Linked DNA regions of Arabidopsis thaliana. The protein of the gene in region 1 interacts with the protein of each later gene in a pairwise test. Each region holds a gene or a part of one and is shown in the gene's direction. Other genes may lie near its edges.

Region 1 (5,232 bases):
TGGTCTCTCAAGTCCATATATAACGATTAGAAACTACAAATTTATAATTTTGTAGCTCCGAAATAAATATCATGCATTATGTATCAGCTAGAAAAGATCTAATCAGTGGTAATAATCGATAAGCAAAGGGTTAAGTAAGAGATGGGAGAGTAATCTCATCTTAGGAAATGATTACAAACACGATCTCATTTCTTTCCTTTATACAAAGCTGTCACCGTAGTAACTCGATCACATCTTCTCGTCTAATTTGTTCTGTTTTTCCTTTCGGTCCATTTAGAACCAATTTTTGACAACTGACAAAAAACATTATGAGGTATCTTTTGTTTCTTTTATCTGCAAATTAATTTATTATTCGGCAATAACAAAAATAAAAACAACTAGTAGCGAATAGCGATCAAGCTAAGGAAGGAATACATATGGCATTTACAATTGAAACAGAGAAAATGTGTTAAAGTAACAAAACTTATGATTGAGAAAATTTAAACCATAATTGAAACAGAGAAAATGTGTTAAAGTAACAAAACTTATGATTGAGAAAATTTAAACCATAATAATGATTAATTTTGGTAGTCTACATATGAGTTCCATCAAAAAAAAAAAAATGTTTTCATATAAGATTCATTTCATTCTTGATCCAGTAACATTCTTAGATCTGTTAATGAACCTTCTTAAGGAATGACTGAGAAGAAAGGCAATAGCCTAAAAGGAATCGACAGTGGAGAGTGGAGGGAAAAAGAGGTCACGTGAGTAAGACATAAGGTCACGTGCGCGAGGGATCGAATATGAATTTTACTAAAATAGGGTTTTATAAAAACATACTAATACTACTTTCACATTTACTCTTGGTTTGAATTATTTTTATACGCATGTATAATTTGATATATTTGTCTTTTTTCTTCCCCTAACTATGTATGGGCACTAGTACATCCATTATATAAGCCAAATAGAAAGAAAAAATAATAGTTTGTCTGCATTATTGTAAACTTACAGAATTTGGTATTTAATGCAATAATGCATTTTTATCCTTGGATTATTCACAAGAACCATATACCTTTTTTTTTCTCTCCTTGTTTCCAAGTGTAATTCGAAAAGAATCTTAACATGTATGTGGACCAACGTTGGAAACATGATGACATAACATTCATATATAGTTAACAATGACAATTTTTCTTAAATTGTCTATATATTATTGGATTGCTTTAACAATAATGAAACGCAAGATGTATTAGTGATGTATAATCACACTATTTATAGGACTTGAGAGTGACAGTCAAAAAGTTAATTAGAAGTAATGAAGTATCTTAACCTTATTATTTAATTGCTTCTTACATCATCTAAGAGTTAGCACCGTATCGATATTCATAAATTCTCTCCTAATTTGCAGATACAATACAACTATTGCTATTTTAAGCCTCTAACCTGCATAATATTTTGATGAAAGGCAAGCCTTACATGTGGACGTATGATCTCATATATTTTTTTTTTTCATTTGTTAGAAGAAACTCATGTAGATAATCTCAAACATAAAATAAAATGTTTCAAAAAAAAAAAAAAAAATAGTTTGTGAAGGTTCAAGAAAATCAGACAAATTCATCAATCAGACAAGATATGGGTCCAAGCCAAAAAATTCATATATCCAACATGCTCAAAGAAACAAAGTCTAAAAAATAAATACAAAATAACAAAAAGAAAAATCTAAAATCTACATCTAAATCTAAATAAATACACCACCTTCTCTCTCTCTCTCTCTAGCTACACGAGTGTATGTATACATTTTACGCAATGATGGCATAGTGCAATGAGCTTTATAAGTAGAAGCAATATAGACATCAAAGACCCCTTATTTGCTCTCAACTCTCAAGTGTATGAGAGAGAAATAGGTTTTTGAAGAAGAGTCAAAATATATACCCAAAGAGAGAGCTAGAGAGAGAGAGACTCAAGAAAATTAAAAAGCTTTCATCATATTAACATAAGAGAAACTTTGAAGAGCCTAAGAAAAAGTTTTGAAAAGCCTTTGTTGCAGAAAGCTTAAAAGAACTTTTTCTCTCCCCCTATATCTCTCTTTATCACCCTTCCTCTTCTTTGTAAAGCTGAATCTCCCACTATCTCTTCTTCTTTCATTTTTTTTTTTTTTTGGTCTTTGGGCCTTGTTCTTTCATCAAATCAATCTCTAGAATCCAAATACAATAAAGTCAAAAAGAAAGATCAAGAAAAGTAGAGTAATTGATGAGAACAGATCAAGTGATGTTGTCCAACAAGAACACAAACACATGTTGTGTGGTTTCTTCTTCTTCTTCTGATCCTTTCCTCTCCTCTTCAGAAAATGGGGTCACCACCACAAACACATCCACTCAGAAGAGGAAAAGAAGACCTGCAGGTACCCCAGGTAATAATAAATCCCCACTACAGAAAATTTATTTTTCAAAATCTTTTTTTCTTGTTTTTATTTTCTTATGAAAATTTTCAACTCATGGGTACTATTGTTTTTTGTTTTTTTTTTCTCTTAAACCCCATTAGAAATACAGGTTTATTATAGGTTTAGTTTTAAAATTTCTCTTTTTCTTATTGCCAGTTTCAAAGTTATAGGTACAATTAATGGGTTTTCATTGTTTTTAATTCTTAAACCTCATTTAAAATCTCAACTTTATTAATCAACTAAGACATGTGTTTTGATGGGTTTTGCCTTATCTCCTTTTCAGATCCAGATGCAGAAGTTGTGTCTTTATCACCAAGAACTCTTCTTGAATCAGACAGATACATATGTGAGATCTGTAACCAAGGGTTTCAAAGAGACCAGAATCTCCAGATGCATAGAAGACGTCACAAAGTTCCATGGAAGCTTCTTAAAAGAGACAACAACATAGAGGTGAAGAAACGAGTCTATGTTTGCCCTGAACCCACTTGCCTTCACCATAATCCTTGTCATGCTCTGGGAGATCTTGTCGGCATCAAAAAACATTTCAGAAGAAAACATAGTAACCATAAGCAATGGGTTTGTGAGAGATGCTCTAAAGGTTATGCTGTTCAATCTGATTACAAAGCTCATCTCAAAACTTGTGGTACTAGAGGACATTCTTGTGACTGTGGTCGTGTCTTCTCCAGGTATAATTTCTTGTTCCTCTCTATCATTTGATTTTTTTTTGACCCATTTTATAAATTAATTATTGGTATTATTAATTCTGAAAAGATATGCAAACTTTTGGAAGGATTTGTTAAGTATTTCTAAAATATACAAGTAATTTGACTCTGTTTGTTTTGTATATTTAGGAGATCATATAGAAAGACAAATATAGAAAATTCTTCTAGGGACCAAAGACTAAGATTGATAGTTATAGTACTATTTGATTTGACTATCCTTCATGATTTTTACTAATTCTGTGTATTGATGTGTATGCATCAGAGTTTTTTAATATATCTCTTGACTATTTGTTTGGTTTTTGTGACATAAAAAGAAAGTTAAGCACTTAGATTAATGACATTGACCCCAATCTCTAAAGAAATATTTTATGTATTTAGGTTATTATTGGACCTTTTTTCGACACAAAGGTTATAATTGGACCTAAACTCATATTAATAATATATATTTTTGAGTTCAAAGGTATTTAATAAACGACGTTTAAACAGAAAAACTTAATATAAAATTATTAACTTTGTCACATTTTCATAATCCTACGTCATATAAATTATGTAATTGATAGGTTTCTTTTCTTCTTTTAGGGTGGAGAGTTTTATTGAACATCAAGATAATTGTTCCGCACGGAGAGTTCACCGTGAACCGCCTCGACCACCACAAACCGCGGTAACAGTCCCGGCATGCTCTTCTAGAACCGCCTCAACCGTCAGCACTCCGTCTAGTGAAACCAATTACGGCGGTACAGTTGCGGTTACGACTCCTCAACCTCTAGAAGGCCGTCCAATTCATCAGAGAATCTCATCTTCAATTCTCACCAACTCATCAAACAATCTCAACCTCGAACTCCAACTTCTTCCATTATCGTCGAATCAAAACCCTAATCAAGAAAACCAACAACAAAAAGTTAAAGAACCATCTCATCATCATAATCATAATCATGATACCACAAACTTAAACCTCTCCATTGCACCATCATCATCATATCAACATTACAACAACTTTGATCGTATAAAAGAGATTATGGCGAGCGAGCAAATTATGAAGATAGCGATGAAGGAGAAAGCTTACGCTGAGGAAGCTAAAAGAGAAGCCAAGAGGCAACGAGAGATAGCGGAAAACGAGTTTGCAAATGCCAAAAAGATTAGGCAAAAAGCACAAGCTGAACTCGAGAGAGCTAAGTTTTTAAAGGAACAATCTATGAAGAAGATAAGTTCAACGATCATGCAGGTCACTTGTCAAACATGTAAAGGACAGTTTCAAGCAGTTGCGGTTCCGGCGGCTACGGCTGATGAGACGTCTCTTGTCGTGAGTTACATGTCGTCAGCGAATACTGACGGAGAGTTGGAAAATGGTTTTTAAGTAAAACCGAAGAAAACATAAGATATTTAAATTGAGGTTAACTTTATTATACTTTTGTGTATTAATTACCGGTTGTGTTAATTTTTTCAACTACCATATATTATGTAATGGTTGTTATATAGTTGTTTCTTTGGTCCAACAATATTAGACTATGTTTTGTAACTATGTTACTGTCATTTCCGCCACATTACACTTTAAATTGTTGAAAAATGATTTTATCCTAGGTTTCATATAGAACCTTAAAATTAAATTTTATCAACAAAAAAAAAACCTTGAAATTAACTATTTAAATTTTTATATAGATATTTTTTCGTCTTGAACGTCTACAGTAGTTTAGAAGGAGTTAAGAGTGGAGATCCGTACATGCGTGTTTTGATCTTTGGCCTTAGATTCGCTTAGAACTTTCAATGGATATACAATTTTTTTAATAAAACATGTGATATGCGGATTTGAATTCGGTTAAATATACATTTGCTTATCCTTGATTTGTCTACATTATTTTTGGTAAGCTTGAGGTGATATATTTGAAAACAAATCTCACGTTTTAAGGATCAAAACAGTCCCTGCATGATAGAGATTATCGACATCTAATGTATACCAGTATATTTAGTAAGTTTGAAAGAGGGTAAGTAGTTGCTTGGCACGAGTTGATATATGGAGTGATGGGAAATGTACTATTATGATGTCGTTTTGGTCCGTGACCGTTACACTTATAACGAGGTTCATAAACAAACATCGTT
Region 2 (7,449 bases), on another chromosome or scaffold:
GAGATACAGTTTCTCACTTGAAAGGATTATTGGCCTAGACCAACATGAAGCAGAGCGAAACCACTCGCCATCTACCAGTTTGTGACGAATGTAACTTAAGATATCTAACTTCACACACATGCTATAAAAGAAGCAAAAACTTAAATCATGTTGTGTCATGTGAAAAAAGAATTTTACTGTTCTTGTTTAAGCAATTTGGAACGACTAATGTCTTTGTTCGTAGTTCAACGTTAAGGTGAGATATAATATAACTCTTATCGGATGGGTGAAACCCACTAGGAAGTTTTGTGACTTAGCTAAGATCAAGTCTTGGTTTCTCAAGAAGATTGCTTGGAACTTGGCCCGGTTAGACTATAGTTTTGTATGATTCTAAAACACAGGAAACAAACATATATAAGTATATAACAATCTCAATGGTCTGGCATGTGATTCGGAGAAGGTTCAGGGTTTAGGTAAGGTCAGAGAGCAGAAGGTGTTGACCCTCTGGTCCGGCCGGAGATCAAAAACGAAGAGCGAGTCAAAGAGAGGTCCTTTGACCTTTTCTCTCTCCGTTAATTCCATTGCGGCTGACGTGGGAATTTCATGCCTATATGGCCCAGCAACGAGACCTGGCTCATGATCAGGCCCATTATTTTCGAAAATCTTCTATTGGACACTCCACATTATATCATCTTGATTGGGTTACAAAACAAATATATTATTTATGTGAAATGTAAAATAAAATAAAAAAATTGCAAGTAACATGTATATCATTATATATTGATACTTTTATAAGAAAAAAATGTATATATGGATACCAGCTAGCTTCACACATCACTACATAGCATCACACACATCACTACCTAGGCATTTGCCCACTTTAGACCTCACAATAATTATTTCTTATGATCTCATAGTGAATCAATCACATTTTTACAAACACAAATAATAAGATACATGCTCTATTGCTCTTGAGAGAGGCACAAAAAGAGATATGCTGCTGAATTCCATATATCATAATGAGCTATGATTCTATGAATAAACCTTTTATTTTCTTCCACTTTATCGTTTGTTCTCGCTTTTTTTTTTCCCCTTTGTTTGTTCAAAGCATGCTCGTGCCTCCGAAGTTTTGATTTCATGTGGTCACCATATATAAAGAAATAGTTCCTTTTATCTTCTCAAATTAAAGAAATAGTTCTTTCTTCTCTCTTTGATATTTTTATTCACACTTTCAAACACGTCTCCTTTGTGGCAGACCACCCAAAAGTTCAAAAGCCTTACTATTACTTATTTTTATTATTATTGATACCAACTAATAATGACTATAAACCATCAACAATAAGTTTTTAGTTGTTGCAATAAAACTGCACAACCTCGAGGTGGGAGTGGGACAATATCTTTTCAGTTCCGGTACGCCCAAGTTAGCAAATCGGCACCACCAGTGAGGAGCGCAAATTAGCACTATGTCGCTAGAAAAACATTTCAATATATATATATATATATATATATATTTGTCTAAAAACATTTCAATATATAAACAATCAAAAATGTAAACGAAAAATTAAAAACGTTTCAATTATACATTCTTTGGACATTAATAAGAAAGATCATTTATGTCTAATACTCTAATCCCAAGTACGAATTTGTTTTTTTCTTTTCTTACAATTTAAACTAGAAATACAAAATAAAAATAAAATAAAGGGTTTTTATTTGTGAGTCGAATGAAATAACGAAAATACCCCTGATCTCTTTTGTGCCTGAGATTGATTTCAAAACGCTGCTTCTTCTTCTTCTCTGATCTCTCCTCTTCTTCGGATCGTCTTTTACTTTGTGAACGATGGACCAACAACCGGAGAGGCGAGAAGGCCGGAGTTTTCCGGAGCGTAAAGGACAGAAGCGGAAGCTAGAGGAAGGAGCCGCCGCCGTAGAAGATCGAGAGATCTCTGCCGTCAGCACCGACGGAGGCCAAGCGCTTCTTAGCGAGGTTGCTGCTCAAGTCTCGGTACTAAACTCTGCCTTCTCTTGGCAAGAGTCCGATCGCGCTGCTGCCAAGCGAGCCACTCAAGTTCTGGCTGAGCTAGCCAAAAACGGTGAAAATCAGCTTCCGATCTTACTCCTTTTTCTCCGGTTTCTTCATATTTTGTTGCATGACTAGTGACCTTTGATGTTCAGCAGAGGATTTAGTGAACGTGATTGTCGACGGAGGTGCTGTTCCAGCTCTTATGACGCATCTACAGGCGCCACCATACAACGACGGGGACTTGGCTGAGAAGCCGTACGAACACGAAGTTGAGAAGGGAAGCGCTTTTGCGCTTGGTCTTCTTGCTATTAAGGTTGTGATCCTCATTTTCTCTATGTCAGCTCCTTGTATAGTGTGTTTAGCTTGTTAGAAAGTAGTTTCCTTTTTTGTTTTGTTGATCCAAATCAATTTTTTTTAAGGCAAAATTTTGGTAATTGAACTCTTATACACGGAGGGGATTATGTATTGTTTGTGTGATCGTGTTGTGGAATTGATTTCTTAACAGCCAGAGTATCAGAAACTGATAGTAGACAAAGGTGCCTTACCTCATTTAGTGAATTTGTTGAAGAGAAACAAAGATGGTTCTAGCTCTCGAGCTGTGAATAGTGTTATCAGAAGAGCGGCTGATGCCATCACCAATCTTGCTCATGAGAACAGCAGTATCAAGACCCGTGTTAGGTCAGCATATTTAAGTGGTTTTCTCCTTTCGAGATTTGTTTTCAGTACAACTCTATCCTCTTGACTTCCAGTTTGACAAACAGGGTAGAAGGCGGTATTCCACCTCTCGTGGAGTTGCTTGAATTTTCTGATTCAAAGGTCCAGAGAGCAGCAGCAGGGGCATTGAGAACCCTTGCATTTAAAAATGATGATAACAAGAATCAGGTAAATATTGCTATCTTACAGCTTCTACTTAGATTTAGCCGGAGCATGATAATTATTTTCTTTGCAGATAGTTGAATGCAATGCTCTTCCCACACTTATTCTAATGCTAGGATCAGAGGATGCTGCTATACATTATGAAGCGGTTAGGAATCTTTTTATAATCAACTGTTTTGCTACTTATTTATCTATGTGGGATTGACGTTGAAATAACCAGTTGAGTCATGCTTTTTAAGGTTGGAGTTATAGGCAATCTAGTACACTCGTCTCCACACATTAAAAAAGAGGTTCTTACTGCCGGGGCGTTGCAACCTGTCATTGGTCTTCTTAGGTATGTGGACCCTCACCATTTTGATATACATGGTTGATGGTTCAGCATAGAGTTGTTATGACTTTGGCTAGAGCTGAAATCTTACCAGCTTCTCTATTGTTGAGGTTTTTATTTCGCTGTTAACCCCAAGTTCATTCTTTTGATTTCTTGAATTTTTCTTTTACAGCTCCTGTTGCCCTGAGAGTCAAAGAGAGGCGGCTTTATTACTTGGGCAGTTTGCCTCAACTGATTCTGATTGTAAGGTACAATTTCATCCCAGGTTTTTTTATCCTCAGCTCTTTTTCCATTCCCGAAAGCCTTATATCTTTTTTTGTTTGGTTATACGAAGTGATAAGTTGTTTGTTTCTGTTGATTTGTAGAACATACCTTCCCATTTCTCACTAATTCTACCATTTTCCCTGATTTATATAGGTTTGTTTTGTTCATTCTTCACTTCATGCTCAAATTATAACTTTGCAGGTGCACATTGTGCAAAGGGGTGCTGTCCGTCCTTTAATTGAGATGCTTCAGTCCCCGGATGTCCAGTTGAAGGAAATGTCGGCCTTTGCACTGGGTAGATTGGCACAGGTTCTTCTTTTAAAACTTTTGGTAGTTCGGTTATGAAAGTGTACGCATTCCCATTTGAGTGTTGTGAAATAGTAACTTCACGCTTTAGATGTTACCTCTTCTTACTTCCAGATCAAACATTTGATACCACAACTGTTATTAATTTGTAGCTTTTGTTTCTTAGTGTTTTCAAATAATTCCTAGTGATCCTGGATAATTTGCTGTTGCCTTGATTGTCAACTGTTTTCTTATTGGTTACTTCAAGATTGGTTTGATTTTAAATTTATAGATGCTAAAAAAGCTGGCTTCCATGGTTGTGGAAGATGGGTATTCTTATTGTGTTTCTAAATCTGTTTTCATTAGGGGGAACTTTTAAGTAGTGAGTTATATTAAATAATAAAACCGATGTGTCTTTTGATTTCTAGCATACTCTTTCTTGCAGGATGCCCACAATCAAGCTGGTATTGCCCATAGTGGTGGTTTAGGACCTTTATTGAAGCTTCTCGATTCAAGAAATGGATCATTGCAACACAATGCTGCATTTGCTCTTTATGGCCTTGCCGATAATGAGGTGTGCTGTATGCTACTTTCGGTTTATTCATTATGCAGAATTTGATGGTAAACGTCGGTAAATGGGTTATTGATCCATTTTTCTTCCCCTAGGATAATGTGTCAGATTTTATCAGGGTGGGAGGTATCCAAAAGCTACAGGATGGAGAGTTTATTGTTCAAGTATGTATGGCGTTGCCACTCTTCCTCTACTTTACAGAACCACATTGTCATACTCCTTTATTGGCTAGATACTGAAGTTTCTTAGCAGCTTTAATCGTATTTTTTTACTCTTCCCCTTAAGGTGTTTATAATATATCATGATTTTTTAGGCAACTAAAGATTGTGTTTCCAAAACACTAAAGAGATTGGAGGAGAAGATTCATGGAAGAGTAAGTGAAACTATACTTTTCTTTAATTCTTTTTTTTTTTCCATCTTTGATGACTAAAACTGCTTTATCCTGGTTGAGTTTCTGAAGCTCTGTTGAAGTTTAGCATTTCTTTATTCAACCTTTGAGATTTCTGTGCTTTGATTTTCTTTTGTAGGTTCTGAGACATCTGTTGTACCTAATGCGCATTTCAGAGAAGTCTATCCAAAGACGAGTTGCTCTTGCCCTTGCTCATCTCTGTTCACCCGAGGATCAACGAACCATATTCATAGATGACAACGGCATGTGACAGTTTTTTTATATTTTCATGAGCTAAATGAGATGCATGCGTTATGTTTAATGCGTTAACCGTCCAGTTTAGATGTTCTTTGTCCAAAAAGTTAATATTGAGTTGTCTTTTGACAGGGTTGGAGTTGCTACTCGGTCTTCTTGGTTCTTTAAACACTAAGCAGCAACTTGACGGTGCAGCAGCGTTGTACAAATTAGCAAATAAATCTATGGCACTTTCTCCAGTTGATGCTGCTCCTCCTTCTCCAACACAAAGGGTGAGTTTCCTTTCTGCTTCAGTTCTCCTATAGGTAACGGGTGGAAGTCTCAATGCAGTATTCTGTATGTCTTTTTGTGACAGGTTTATCTCGGAGAGCAATATGTAAATAATGCTACGCTGTCTGATGTAACCTTTCTAGTCGAAGGTAATCATATATAAATCCAGAAGTTGTGGAACTCTAGTTAGCTTCAAAGTCCATATGTAAAACAGAAAAATCATACTGCAGGAAGGACATTCTATGCACACAGAATTTGTCTGCTGGCATCCTCAGATGCATTTCGTGCAATGTTTGATGGTGGTTACAGAGTAAGTGAACTAAATATTTTGGTTTTTCGATAATGTTCTTGTGGGGTAAATGATATTTTGATGACAATGACGTATGGATGTATGCTGGTCTGCTATTTATCAAAGGAATACAATTATCTTTTGGGGAAATTAGACCTGAATTGTGTCACGGTTTGTGTTTCGTTTATATCACAGGAAAAAGACGCTAGAGATATTGAGATTCCAAATATCAAATGGGAGGTGTTTGAGTTAATGATGAGGTATGATGAATGAACCTCTGCATGCTTTTGATTGACTCACTCGAGATATTGAAATTTCGAAAAGTCTGTGAGAACTTTTCATATACACGTAATTGACTCCCTTGGATTATGATTTTCAGGTTTATATACACTGGATCTGTCGACATAACAAATGAGATATCAAAAGATCTTCTAAGAGCAGCGGATCAGTATCTCTTGGAGGGCCTGAAACGACTCTGTGAATACACAATTGCTCAGGTGAGCCAGAATTATATCACAATGTAAAGTGATGATGTGGTTTGCGTAGTACTTAACGAAATCTGACACGGTTACTTTGAATATGAAAGGATATTACGTTGGAAAGTATAGGAGACATGTACGAGCTATCAGAAGCATTCCATGCGATGTCGCTGAGGCAAGCTTGTATCATGTTCATCCTGGAGCATTTCGATAAACTGAGTTCAATGCCTTGGTAATATAAACAAGATGTCACTCTCTCTCTCCACTAAGATTTGTTTTATTGCTATTAGTCTGAAACAAAAGTGAATGGAAAATGCAGGCAGAACGAGCTGGTGCAGAGAACAATACCAGAGATAAGAGAGTACTTTTGTAGAGCCCTAACAAAGTCTACTACAAACCTGCAAAGCTTGAGGTTGTAGAATGCGGAAGAAGAAGACTGCACTTAACTAGAGGTAAGTAGACAAGGAATTATATAGAGAGAAAGAGAGAGAGAGATCAAGAGCCGCCATTAGAGGTCTTTATCGTCCTGTACTGGGTTGTCTTAGTTATTTGCTGTGCTTTTTGGTTCGTTTTGGTCATTTTGTATTGTATTAATTAATCTCCTCTGATCACAATCGGTCTTGAATGAAATCGCTACCCTTTGTATCCAAAAATACCATTGTGGTATAACTTCCACTATTCAATTCAAAATCCACTCTCCAACTATCCTCTCTGTTGAGAAAAGATACTTTGGGTAGGTTGTGACTAAGCGTAGCTGTAACGATTTGATATTGGTAGTGGTGACCAGTGAGTTCATGTCTGAATAATTAAGAGATGATTCAACACAGAACATAATATCCCATTTTTGTTTTACAAATAAAGAATCAATCGAAAGTATTACTGATGATTAGAGACTGTAACTTGTAAGTATTTTGTAGCACAAGCCACTGAAAATTACATTACACATAAAGGAGTTTTCTTTAACATGAAAGATTCAAAATTACCAGGTTGGTTCTAATTAATTACGTTTTCTTCCAAAGTGATTAATTACTCAAGTCACGATGAATTATTAACCTTTCTCTTTTTTTTTTTTTTTAAATTAGTCTATAGAGACTTTTGGTTCAACGAACGTAGGAGGGAGTTTTAAAGAGCTCCGGTGAAGGAGAAACCCTAAAAACACACTCGATTTTGCAGCCAGAGAGAGTCTCAGAGCTCCGAGATTCAGACAATCTTCATCGGTCCGGTACGCTTTTCATTTCCGTTTATTCTCATCGCAAACGGATAATTATTTGTCTGATCCGATTTTACCCTGTGATTAAGCACCGATGTTCCTTCCTCGTAGTTGGTGATTTAATGCTTCTTCTCGAAACTATCCACTTATAGGATCTCCGATCTTTACGAGATTACTCTCCTTAATCTCTGTTATTGATTTAGTCACAGCATTTTCTGATTTATCAATTAGTTAT
Region 3 (4,310 bases), on another chromosome or scaffold:
GAGAGGAAAACTCTAATCAAATAAAATTGTAAGTAAGCTAAATATGTGTGTCGAAGTAGGAAATCTAAGGAAAGTGAAGAATGCAAAAAAGTTAGTCACTGAAAGAGACGTGTGATTGATCACTTGTCTCCTTCCAATTTCCCTGTGGGGGCAGTGCATGCACAAAAGATGGAATCCATCCTATAGCTCCTCCTTTCTTCACTATCTTTTCAAGTTTCTCTTTTTGAATATATTTTTTTTAAATTGATTTTGATTTAACTCAAAGCCCACACTTCTTAATCCATCTTCTCTATAATTAGTATGCCAACAAATATATATGCTTGTTCTGTCTCAAATTTCAACAATAAAGCGTGTATAGCTCCCAAAAAGCTATGTTGATGAGTTATCACTCTTTTTATGGATTGGACTAATAGTTTGTCTCATGTCAAAATGATTATACATAACTCAGAATCCAGCAGTATAGAGAACTTAACTTTTATATATATGTTAACCCTCATAACCTCAAACAGAAAATTTGTAGTGCAGTGTAGAAAACATCCTTAAACATAAAGTAAATCCTTTAACAAAAAAAATAAATATAAGTGGCAAATCAAGAGATTCTGCTTTTGAGTCCAATGTATGTATAGTTGGATGTTCTGAAGAAGATCCATTGTTTTGGTTGTTTCTCTACAGTTAAACGATTTTTATATTTAACTTATTAATGCAATTGAGTGAAAATTTCACGATGAAGAAAAAAGTTGTGAATCATGACAAGTTTTGTCCTCAGTTTTGCAGTGAAATCATTTTGCGTGAAAATTTTATGAGAGAAACAAAAAAAAAAAAAACTGATCAAAAGATCAGGAAAGGACCATTCTTAATTTATAACATGTGGGCAAGTCAAGGCTTGCTGGCATCAAACTTGAATAAATGTAATCATATTCACACCATGTATTGTTTAATATATAATTTTAATATCTTAATTGGTCATCTATTTTTGTCTTTTTGCATCGCATATGTGTCATAATTAATATCTGTACGATGTAGAGGCTAGTGAATATAAAGTGAAAACATAGATATATCGATCTTAAACCAATGGTATCTTACACCATATGTATATGCTTGTTTGAAAATATTTATTCTACGAAAGTATTAATTGGATTGATTGTTTTCACTCTCTTGAGTAATTTTGGATAAGTTAATAGTTATTATTTTTATTACACATGATTAAGGTGTATTGTTAATTATAAATCATATTTATACGAAGACATGGTTGAATAATGTCCAACACAGCTTATTTTAGCAAAAACTAATGTACGAGGAGTGACATTTAGGGTCTTGATATTTTTGAAGCAAAATTAAATACGTCTGCAAGATTTTGCAGAGGGAGGCATGTACTATATCATCTGCAATAGTAGCAACATAGATAAAAGTCATAAACCCCTAGATCCGGTCCCTTTAATTTAATTCATATATATGATTTGACATAAAATTACTTTTGTTAAAAAGTTTGTTTTTACATTAAATTCTTCTATCTTTTTTCTAAATATCAGTTTAATATACATTTGTAATTTTTCTTGCAATCCCTAGCCAGCTTAATGATATCATTTTTTTTCCTTCTTTATATCCAGAGAAATTTTATGCGGAAACGTAGATTAATATCATCGAACTTGTTGATCCAATTTGTTTTATCTTTTAAAACATTTACAGTGATTACAAAATAGAATATATAGCAAGTAAATATCCAACGAAAACACATAATGTCTTTAACAAAAAAAAAGAACGAAAAAAAAAAGAAAACACATAATGTCACCATTAGAAACTCGTGTCTACACCAGAAGTCATTAGTTTAAGATATTCATTTTTTTTTTTTTTGATAAGATGATATTAAATGTTGTTAAAATAAACAATAAAAATGCAATTATGGACTGCATATACACGTCCAACACTTTGACAATCTGTATCGCTCTCTCTCTCTCTCTATATATATATATGTCATGGTCTCACTATGATTGTTCTATAAATACAAGCCTCCTAACTCATAAAATAAGCATAACCCTAACTCTACAAAGTTCTTCTGATTCTTTCTCTCTCTCTCTTTCTTTCAAGAGCGGTTTTCAATCCATTCGCTAAAGACCATGAACCTAGAAGAGAAACCAACCATGACGGCTTCAAGGGCTTCCCCTCAAGCCGAACATCTCTACTACGTCCGGTGTAGCATCTGCAACACCATCCTCGCGGTAAATTATTACCTACATATAAGAAGATATATAAGCATATATATACTTGCATGACCCTATATATGTTGATAATATCACATACATGCTAAGCTATACATATTGTTGTTTATGTTATATATATATATATTTCTTCAAATTTTCGAGCTAATTTGTAAACCGAATCTACACACATATATAGGTTGGGATACCATTGAAGAGAATGCTTGACACGGTAACGGTGAAATGCGGCCATTGTGGTAACCTCTCGTTTCTCACCACAACTCCTCCTCTTCAAGGCCATGTTAGCCTCACCCTTCAGGTATATAACACTTGTGTTATAGTTATACATACGAGTATAATTCTTTTTATACAAAAAACTGATACTAAGCCAATCTTTGTTTTAACTAAGCAGATGCAGAGCTTTGGTGGAAGTGACTATAAGAAGGGAAGCTCTTCTTCTTCCTCTTCCTCCACCTCCAGCGACCAGCCCCCATCTCCCTCACCTCCCTTTGTCGTCAAACGTAATTAAGCTTATTACCATTTCTGACTCCTTTTTCTTCTATAAACTTAATCACTATCTACATATATATGATTATCTGTTGAACATCTTTGGTATTGTAGCTCCTGAGAAGAAGCAGAGGCTCCCATCTGCATACAACCGCTTCATGAGGTTTAACCTTTGACATATACTCTTTAGTTCCAAGTTAATTATGAAATTTAATGCATAAAAAATAAATATAATTTAGTACTCTTCTTCATCTTTTTTTGAAACAAAATATAAAAAGGGATGAGATCCAACGCATCAAAAGTGCCAATCCGGAAATACCACACCGTGAAGCTTTCAGTGCTGCTGCCAAAAATGTAAGACAAGTCTCTTTTTGTTACCAACCATTGTTGTCACCTTTAATATTATTTTTTCACAATTTCGTTTGTGTAAATGAAAAATGTCACAAACAGTGGGCTAAGTACATACCCAACTCTCCTACTTCCATTACTTCCGGAGGCCACAACATGATCCATGTAAGCTATACAAACTAAGTCTGCATAAGGACATATTTATATACATTATATAAAGATTTAAAATGTTTTGTTCAATTAGGGCTTGGGATTCGGTGAGAAGAAGTGAACAAAACTCAGGGGAAAAGAAGCCTAAAAATAACAAACGCATGCACGTGTGCGAGTGGCTGCGTCGTTTTTCTCATCTTGTGTTGTTCTTCTGTGTAATTTTCTTATGTATGTCATGTTGCAGAAAATGATGTTGCCTTAGTTTTTATGACTTTATATTTCTGTCTGTCTTTAGATTTGAAAGTAACGTCACTTGCTATGTCCCTTTGGACGTTTATGTCTGGTCTTTATTTGTCTTAATCCTATCAAAATTTTATATGCGTATTCCTTAATTCCATCTGGGACACTTTTTCTTTTCCCCAATGATTTGCAACTTTCAACATCGTAACTTCGAACTCGAGAATCTCAGATCAGTCCTCAGATGACGTGAGTGTACAGAACAAAACAAAACAAAAGTAAAAATTCACTTTTTCAGCGAATATTCATTACATGTATATATACAAATTGTCTGTAACGCTGTGAAAAGGAAGTAGGCATAGATATCTGAAGCAATTTTCTTCAGAACATTATTGACTGGTGAATAATAACACAACAGTTACAAATTACAATAATACGTGTAACATGATCTGATCCTCTTAATTCCTCTATCTAATCACAAACTAATCAAGCCATGCAGGCTTGTCTTGTCCTTCTGCAGAACAATCTCAAGAAACTCGAACCGGTTTAAAGGAATAAGAATGTTGTAACCTTTTATTAGGAGCCAGGGAAATAAAGCTCATTATATTCCTGCTTCACATCACCAGTGTAATTCCTCTGTTGCTCGATTCTTTGAAGATGTGATGACAGTTGCAGTAGATCAACCGTGGATGTTCCTTTTCCTTTACAAGAACTAGAACCAGCAGAATTGGTCTTGCCAGGATCGATCCACAACGGTTGTTCCATCTGATGATAGTCAGTTGATGATGAGTGATTGAGATTTTGGTTGGGTTGGGTGATTGAGAACGTTGTGTTTGGAAACTTAGACAAGTGTTGTTGGGACTGAGCTGACAG

Evidence for each region.
Region 2: the proteins of SGR5 (region 1) and ARIA interact in binary tests that used the Arabidopsis thaliana proteins (3 or more experiments, as listed by UniProt).
Region 3: the proteins of SGR5 (region 1) and CRC interact in binary tests that used the Arabidopsis thaliana proteins (3 or more experiments, as listed by UniProt).

Annotation. Positions count from the first base shown.
Region 1 is NC_003071.7:430,426-435,657, forward strand, and holds SGR5 (C2H2-like zinc finger protein), read left to right. Parts: upstream 1-1,849; 5' UTR 1,850-2,226; coding exon 2,227-2,386; intron 2,387-2,421; exon of another isoform or gene 2,422-2,586; intron 2,587-2,699; coding exon 2,700-3,086; coding exon of another isoform or gene 3,087-3,102; intron 3,103-3,698; coding exon 3,699-4,492; 3' UTR 4,493-4,652; downstream 4,653-5,232. UniProt on the Arabidopsis thaliana protein: Transcription factor involved in inflorescence stems gravitropism, probably by regulating starch accumulation in amyloplasts of graviperceptive cells. Required for stem circumnutation movements. Regulates lateral organ morphogenesis and gravitropic responses.
Region 2 is NC_003076.8:6,507,069-6,514,517, reverse strand, and holds ARIA (ARM repeat protein interacting with ABF2), read left to right. Parts: upstream 1-1,716; 5' UTR 1,717-1,816; coding exon 1,817-2,069; intron 2,070-2,151; coding exon of another isoform or gene 2,152-2,154; coding exon 2,155-2,312; intron 2,313-2,504; coding exon 2,505-2,677; intron 2,678-2,760; coding exon 2,761-2,881; intron 2,882-2,948; coding exon 2,949-3,023; intron 3,024-3,114; coding exon 3,115-3,209; intron 3,210-3,375; coding exon 3,376-3,451; intron 3,452-3,668; coding exon 3,669-3,776; intron 3,777-4,197; coding exon 4,198-4,326; intron 4,327-4,418; coding exon 4,419-4,487; intron 4,488-4,636; coding exon 4,637-4,696; intron 4,697-4,850; coding exon 4,851-4,974; intron 4,975-5,098; coding exon 5,099-5,238; intron 5,239-5,321; coding exon 5,322-5,385; intron 5,386-5,466; coding exon 5,467-5,546; intron 5,547-5,720; coding exon 5,721-5,785; intron 5,786-5,904; coding exon 5,905-6,022; intron 6,023-6,071; coding exon of another isoform or gene 6,072-6,111; coding exon 6,112-6,236; intron 6,237-6,323; and 3 more. UniProt on the Arabidopsis thaliana protein: May act as a substrate-specific adapter of an E3 ubiquitin-protein ligase complex (CUL3-RBX1-BTB) which mediates the ubiquitination and subsequent proteasomal degradation of target proteins.
Region 3 is NC_003070.9:26,006,745-26,011,054, reverse strand, and holds CRC (Plant-specific transcription factor YABBY family protein), read left to right. Parts: upstream 1-1,913; 5' UTR 1,914-2,114; coding exon 2,115-2,216; intron 2,217-2,394; coding exon 2,395-2,514; intron 2,515-2,607; coding exon 2,608-2,716; intron 2,717-2,816; coding exon 2,817-2,865; intron 2,866-2,980; coding exon 2,981-3,056; intron 3,057-3,152; coding exon 3,153-3,215; intron 3,216-3,294; coding exon 3,295-3,321; 3' UTR 3,322-3,705; downstream 3,706-4,310. Other genes in the region: AT1G69170 (Squamosa promoter-binding protein-like (SBP domain) transcription factor family protein), read right to left, coding at 4,014-4,310. UniProt on the Arabidopsis thaliana protein: Transcription factor required for the initiation of nectary development. Also involved in suppressing early radial growth of the gynoecium, in promoting its later elongation and in fusion of its carpels by regulating both cell division and expansion.